Xenopus tropicalis: one gene and its partner. The main gene of each other region encodes a partner of the protein of the gene in region 2 in a complex. Links are inferred from orthologs where the notes say so. Each region holds a gene or a part of one and is shown on either strand. Other genes may lie near its edges.

The links. The genes of interacting proteins can lie anywhere in the genome.
Region 1: cinp (region 2) and spata5l1 share a complex: the UniProt entries of both Homo sapiens proteins name them as parts of the 55LCC heterohexameric ATPase complex. The link is inferred for Xenopus tropicalis from reciprocal best matches to the Homo sapiens genes CINP and AFG2B.

The regions. Positions count from the first base shown.
Region 1 is NC_030679.2:104,568,638-104,572,790, reverse strand, and holds the start of spata5l1 (spermatogenesis-associated protein 5-like protein 1), read right to left. Parts: upstream 2,801-4,153; 5' UTR 2,790-2,800; intron 2,659-2,789; coding exon of another isoform or gene 2,634-2,658; coding exon 1,566-2,633; intron 1-1,565. UniProt on the Homo sapiens protein: ATP-dependent chaperone part of the 55LCC heterohexameric ATPase complex which is chromatin-associated and promotes replisome proteostasis to maintain replication fork progression and genome stability.
Region 2 is NC_030684.2:97,537,426-97,540,667, forward strand, and holds the end of cinp (cyclin-dependent kinase 2-interacting protein), read right to left. Parts: intron 2,931-3,242; coding exon 2,762-2,930; intron 2,170-2,761; coding exon 2,058-2,169; intron 1,890-2,057; coding exon 1,760-1,889; intron 784-1,759; coding exon 581-783; 3' UTR 501-580; downstream 1-500. UniProt on the Homo sapiens protein: Component of the DNA replication complex, which interacts with two kinases, CDK2 and CDC7, thereby providing a functional and physical link between CDK2 and CDC7 during firing of the origins of replication.

The DNA.
Region 1 (4,153 bases), on a different chromosome or scaffold from region 2:
TTGTGGTATGCTTAAAGGACAAGGAAAGTCAAAATCTATTAAGCACACTATTAAATAGTACTACTATTGCTGTGTAAAAATGCTATATTTCTGGCTTGCCTAATGAAAGATTTACAGAGATACATTTACTAGAACCTACACACTTGTTTCAGTGAACGGCGCCGCCATCTTGTCCAGCATGTCACAGAGTGTCCTGCCACATCCCCCCCCCCCCAGCATGTCACAGATCAACACACAGAGCTTCCACTGCCGGCAGCACCCCCCCCCCTTCCCCCGCTGCTGCCACCGCTCGGCACTGTCACGAGGAGAAACAGATCGACACTGCTGGCAGCACCCCCCGACCCCCCCCACCCCGCTCGGCATTGTCAGGAGGAGAAACAGATCAACACTGCCAGCAGCAACCCCCCCCCGCCCCTGCCGCCGCCGCTCGGCACTAGGAGGAAAAGATACAGATGGAATACAGCATGTGCCATACAGCACTGTTACATACAGCACTCACCCACCAACCTTCCGCTTCGCTCCAAGCTCCTGCCACAAACCGTCCTTCGCTCCCCACACCTGTCCCTGCCCCCGCTCCCCTCCACAGCGTTCACCACCGCCATGGCGACCAGACGCTCCTGCTGTGTGCGCATGCGCCGCCTACAGTAGAAAGTCTAGGAAAGGAGCGATGCATTATGGGAATCTTCTCTACCCTGCTCAGCGTTTTATTTTCCTGTTTGGCTTCTGATCTTCTGAACAGATGAAGTATGGGGAGACTTAAGGGCACTATTGAGACAACTGAAGGTATGCCTGCAGCTTGAGATTAACTCTTTATTAGCCTTTCCTTCTCCTTTAAGTGATAATTCTAACATTAATAAAGCAACTTAAGTAGTGTGACTTTTCTAACAGGCAAAAACATATATGTAAGCCAAAAAATGATTGGTTGCAGATTAGCATTTTTTTCAAATGGATGCTCAAATGCAATAAATAAACAAAAAAAACTATACCCCTGAACAATGTAGGTCTCTGTAAAATTATAGTGCATATAATAGCCCATATGTAAAACACTGCTTAATTTTAATAAAAACATCCTTTTCTAGCAGTATTTGCCACTGAATAAACCTAAGTAGAAATTGACATTTGTTAATGCTAAGGACCTTCCCCCTGGCTCATACAATTCACTGGGTCACAAAAACACCAAGGGCATACATGCTAGAGACGCTAGGTTATGCTGGGGACCGAAACGTTACGTCGGCTGTTTATGCTACTTTAAATATATGTTTTGATTTTTTCACAAGAAATCCCAGAGTTGCTGGTCTTTTTTATTTTCTCTCTCTCCCTCTCTCTCGTAAGTAAAACAGACAATAGCAGAGGTAACCCAAGTATATATATATATATATTACAAAGAGAATAGCTTAGGCTACTGAGGTTACATGCTAAATACATATAATGATGTCTTTTTGAAATGTGGTGAAGTCCCAGGTCTTATCCTACTCATGAGATCTCTCACATTATCTGTCAGATGCCAACAGCTTATTTTGTGGGGCTGTTAAAGGAGACAAAAGAAAAATTATTTTTATATTTACCTCCCTGTCAAATCTGCCTGGTCTTCTTAATGCTGGATCAATGGCATCAGGCCTGCTTGTTGCAGCTACAGTAACCATCTTATTGTCACTGTCAATACCATCCATTAGAGTTAACAGCTGAGCAACAACGCGGTTTTCGGGAGCACTGTTTGAATGGCCACGTTTAGGACATAAGGCATCAACTTCATCTATAAAGAGCAGAGCTGGGCCACTACATGCAGCTTCTCTTGCTTTTTCAAAAATCTTCCGTAAATTCTCTTCGCTTTCTCCAGGTCTTGAGCCGTGAATTGCGGGACCACTCAGGCCAATTACATACGCCCCGACTTCTCTAGCTACAGCCTTTACCAAAAGGGTCTTTCCAACCCCTGGGGGCCCAATCAAGAGAACACCTTTCGGGCAAGGGAGGCCAAGTTTGTGCATGGTCTCTGGATAATGTAACGGCATATGAATTATTTCCTTTAGTGAGGCACACGTGTCATCCATAGCCGCAACCTTTAATTGAGGGGCCTCCTGTAACTTATGTTTGTACCATTCAAGGGTGATGACTTCTTTAATGACTATGCTTGTTTTGCCTGTAATAAGGCCGGCATTGCTTGTTGCAGGATCTGTATCAAGTATTTCAATGTGAACAACTGGGGAATCTGCATTTACAGATAACACATAATCATTCAGCACAAAAACGTTTCTTAGTAGATCTCTGACAGTCTCAAGGAGTGCTGCTTCTGAGGTAGCCCGCTTCACATCTAGGCTTCTCACTACAACTTTCACTGAGACCTTTCTGAGTTTGGTAGAAGCCATGGATTTTATCTGATTTAAACATATGCCGGTGTCCTTAAATACAGCCATGGGTTTATGTGAAGTCGAGCACATATAATCAGCTTGCACAAAGCCATCGCACAGATCTCTCCTGGGCCAAGCAGTGCACAAGCAGCTTCCACTCTGCAAGGAGACAAGAACCGGGAATCCGACTTTTGCTCCAATCAAAGCCATCGCTTTGGGACCAAGTCTGCATCGTTGTGAGCAATGGTCGTCTGGGTTGGAGGGTAGACATTTTAGAACCGTATCCATCAATGAAGAATCCTGACGATAACATCTAAAAAAAACGTATTAATTATTGAAACATGGTTTCCATGACAAAACACTGTATGCATTAATATTCGGGGGGAGTTCAAACTTCACCCTCTAATACAAGAATATGCACAGTGCCCAAGAATTGCGCTTTACCTAACACACACCGCAAACTCAGAGCGCTACTCCTGCCTTCGGAAAAGTTAACAGCAAGTCTCATGCTTCTGTCAGAAAATCCCGACTGCGCAAGTCTCATCTCGCGAGATTTGGCGTTAAGACTGAAGAGCGGAGACGACGTAACGGCGTTACGCAATTAGAAGTGTCTAGTATGCGGCGTTGAGTCTGCTTACAAAAAAAAATCTTGGTTGCACCTCATAGAGGAAAAAAAAAGAAAGAGCGAAAAAAGAATTTTTGTGTTGGTTGTGCCCTCCGCTATCACAGCTCCCCAAAATTTCTCAGAAGCCTTATAATTTCTGCTCAGCTTCCATCTGTGGCAGGGAACTGAAAACAATACATATTTTCTCTTTTAGTGCAACCAAGGCCCAGGTGAAGTTTTCTTCACCAGGTATTTTGCCATAAAAAAGTCCATGGACTCCAATGGCAGCAAAAATTAGTTTTACAAAGAAAGCCTACTAATTACGATTTGTGTATTTTTGGCAAAACAAAAAAGGTTAGAATTGCCTGTCACTAGTCATCTTTAAAGTGTTTTTGTACTTTAAAGTATAGAGCTGTCAACTCCCCTATTTCTCCCCTGGTCCCCCAGCCAGCAGCATTTTCCCTTCTGGTTTTTCAAGGATTAAAATTTAACAATTCTTGTTTCCACAGCATAAATCAGTGATCCCCATCAGTGGTTCGTGAGCAACATGTTTCTCCCCAGCCCCTTGGATGTTTCTCCCAGTGGCCTCAAAGCAGGTGCTTATTTTTTAATTTCTGGCTTGGAGGCAACTGTTGATTGCATAAAACCCAAACAGAGCCTTCTGCAGGTTGCCAGTCCACATAGGGGCTACCAAATAGCCAATTATAGCTCTTATTTGCACCCCAGGAACTTTTTCCCTGCTTGTGTTGTTCCCCAGCACTTTTTCCATTTGAATGTGACTCACAGATATAAAAGGTTGGGGATCCCTGGCATAAATCCAGGGGTATATTTATCAAAGAGTGAAATTAGAGCTTGCTACAGTCCTCTAGAGTGAAATTCCTCCACTCTAATCATTTCTATGGTATTTTTAAATGCATGTTTATCAAAAGGTGAACTTTCACCTTTATTTATTGATAAATACTCTGAAAAATCCCAAAGAAATAAATGGAAGGTGGCGGAATTTCACTCTGGCAGACTGCAACACGCTCTTTTACTCTTTGATAAATATATCCCCAAGTATTTAAACAAAAGTTGAAAATATTTGCGGAGAACACTGCCAGGTGCAGGCTGCCAGGTAGGCTGAGAAGAAACAGATGAGATATTCTGAGCATTTCCAGTGACATCTATCGTCAGATAAGCTGTTTTTGCCTTATTATGAAAGTGA
Region 2 (3,242 bases):
GCGCATCATATTTTAGTTAGTTTTATACACTTTCATTTTTTGGTGTTACTGTTCCTTTAAAGGACAGTACCCTGTTCTGGTGCATTTGAATGAATAGGAACACTATCCCGGGGGCTAATGTACTAGATGTTCAGTGGTGCCTAGTACACTGGCACCCCCCTCCAGTGTATTTAACCTTTTAAGGGCTCTGCTACACGGGGAGATTAGTCGCCTGCGAATAATCTCCCCGATATGACATCCCACCGGCGATTTACATTTAAATGGTACACGGGGAGATTAGTCGCCTGTGACAAATGTCCCTTGTTGCGGGCAACTAATTTTCCCCCCGATATGACATCCCACCGGCGAAAATTGAAATTGCCATTGGGATGGCATAAGCAGCGGCGCGATTTGCAGAAATTGCTGAAGTTGCCTCGAGAGGCAACTTCGGAGGTCGCGCCGCGGCATATGCCATCCCACCGGCGATTTACATTTTCACCGGTGGGATGTCAGTCGGGGAGATTAGTTGCCCGCAACAAGGGACATTTGTTGCAGGCGACTAATCTCCCCGTGTACCAGAGCCCTAAAGGGTCCAAAACCATCAAAAGGTTCTGTGTCCTGTTTCCAGCAGCATGCTTTCAAGTAAGACTTTGATGTTGTTGTCAATATAAGGCTGGTATAACCAACACGATAAATACACCATCCGTAAGTCCTGATCTGATGTATGTGCAAGATCCCCGATAATAGTCCTTTTAAGCTCCATTTCTTTCTTGTACATATCTACCATTGTTTTGGAGGTCTCATCTGAAAGGCAATAGATGAAGAATGAAATGTTGCATTAAAAGTTAATCATTTTTTTTATAAAAATGCAATACCATAGACTGTTTTTGAGAGGTCACAGATGCTGATGAATAAATGCCATCCTAAGCCTTAACATTCATCCTGTATTCTGATAAAGCAGTATAAAATTACAGCACACCTTACTCTATTCTGAAGCACAAAGAGATATTTTATGGGAAATCTTATCACTTATCTGCCAGTTCAAAACATTTTATTAGACTCTCTTTAACAACAAACATTTTATTCACAATTGGCTAGCATGCCTGTAATCTCTATCGGGTTTCTGTAAATAAAAGGGAAGTTAAATATAATTTATTTTACTATGGAATATACAGTGAGAAGATAATATTGGATTTAACTTTGTCTTTGTAGTTTTCAAATTGTTTTGTTTACATTGTGTTCTACAGCTCTCTAGTTAAATTTAAAATGTTATCTTGCAATGATCCTGTCTTTCAGCAAGCAGTTGTTTAAATGACAATAGAAAAAAATATTATAACAGAAGAGCTGTGTAAAGGTCCCCATACACGGGCTGATAGTAGCTGTCGATAATGGTCCCTTGGACTGATTTGGCAGCTAATCGGCCCCAGGGCCAAACGATCGAATTACCCTGGATTCTCCCAATATCGCCCACCCGTAGGTGGGGGATATTGGGAGAAGATCCGCTCACCGGGTGACATCGCCAAACGAGCAGATCTTATGGTGTATGGGGACCTTTGGAGTTGTACAGCCTGAATCTGAGGTGTGAACCTTGCAGGGGGCCAGTTAAACTCAGTACTGATACCATTTCAAGCTTACACAAAGCAGCCAGACAGGTGGGGGGGCCCACACAGAGGGGACTCTCAGGCCGCCAGTTGGACAGAACTGCTCTAATAGAATGGTTTCATTATTATTTTTCATATTTCTTACAGCATAGTGTGTTATTTATATAAGTTCTACTTACAGAAAAGGGTTGTTGGCCAAGTGTGAAAATGAACTGGCTTAGAAATGTCACCAGGAAACTGATATGCTTCAAGGTCACAGATTCCTTTAAAAGTGACGGTTATCTTCTCCAGCTTGGTCCATATTTTTTCCTTAGGGGTAAAATACAATGCATATTCATTTTATTAACATCTATTTATAAAGCGCCAACATTCCACAGCACTGTACAACAACTAGATTTATACACTTAACATACAGAAATACATGCAATGCAACCAATGACTGATACAGGATTACATTATTTTGGTCTAGTAACATACCATATTTTCTAATATGTGAAGTAATTCTGAGCACAGTCTGTCCAATTCCACTTTGTCTGTCGTTATATTATCCTTATTAGGTGTGGTTTCATCCAACATGCTATCTGCAGATCTACACATACAATAAAAAAAAAAAAAAGCAAAGTTCATTGTGTCTATGTGCTACTGACACTTCCAATGCAGATTTCAGGGCTCGTCACCCTCAGGTGATAAGGATCTGTGTAGATACTGAACCTTGAATATTATATATTTTGTTTTGTCTAATATTCAATACATTAAACACAATAAGGGTGAAGACACACGGAACTACTAGTAGCAGCTATTTGTCGAGGCTACTAAAAGAGATAATGCTGATCATTTACTGATAGTTGTCTCTGCGTGTGTTTTAGCAGAGGCAATTCTCAGTATTGTCTATGGCAGGGTATTTTATGGAGTGTAGTAGCCGTGACAAGTAGCAGCTACTAAATAGCTCCATGTGTCTTCACCTTAAGAATACATCGGTGTACGTTGCCAAGGCTGTAGTTTTCAGTTGTGCATTATGTATTGAATATTAGACAAACAAAATATATAATATTTAAGGACAAATACACCAGGACTCAGTGGCAACACAAAGCCTAGGTTTTAAGAACTTCATTACTTGAACCTGCGAGACCGCACATGTTGACAGCAGGTGAAACACCTCTTAGGCACACACAAATACTTACTCAGTAATTATTTTTAGATTAACAATCTTGCTTGCTATAGTAAATGAATCATTATTATATGTCTCCCATTTAAGCATCAGATTATGCCAGTCTGCTGCATTGTCTTTGATTTTTCTTGCACTAGCTGATAAAGCTGGCTTTTTTGGTGTTACATATCCAGGACTTTTACCTGTAAAGGGAGACAGATGTTAACACCAATCTACCTTCCATAACAAACAAACATTTCATACAATAACGGTTCCCCTTGTTTCAGTAAAGATTTGAATCCATTGGTGCAACCTCTCAGAAAGTGCCAGGCTCAAAATGTGCAAGTAACAATAGAAGGACAAAAAGAGGATGCACACAAGCGATATCAACTGGTGTAAAAAATAAATAAATAATACCTTCAAAAGTATTTATTATGGAGTGCACACAAAAGCCAAATGTTTCAAGTGCTTCATGCACACTTTATCACAAGTGCACATGATTCATTGCCGGTACC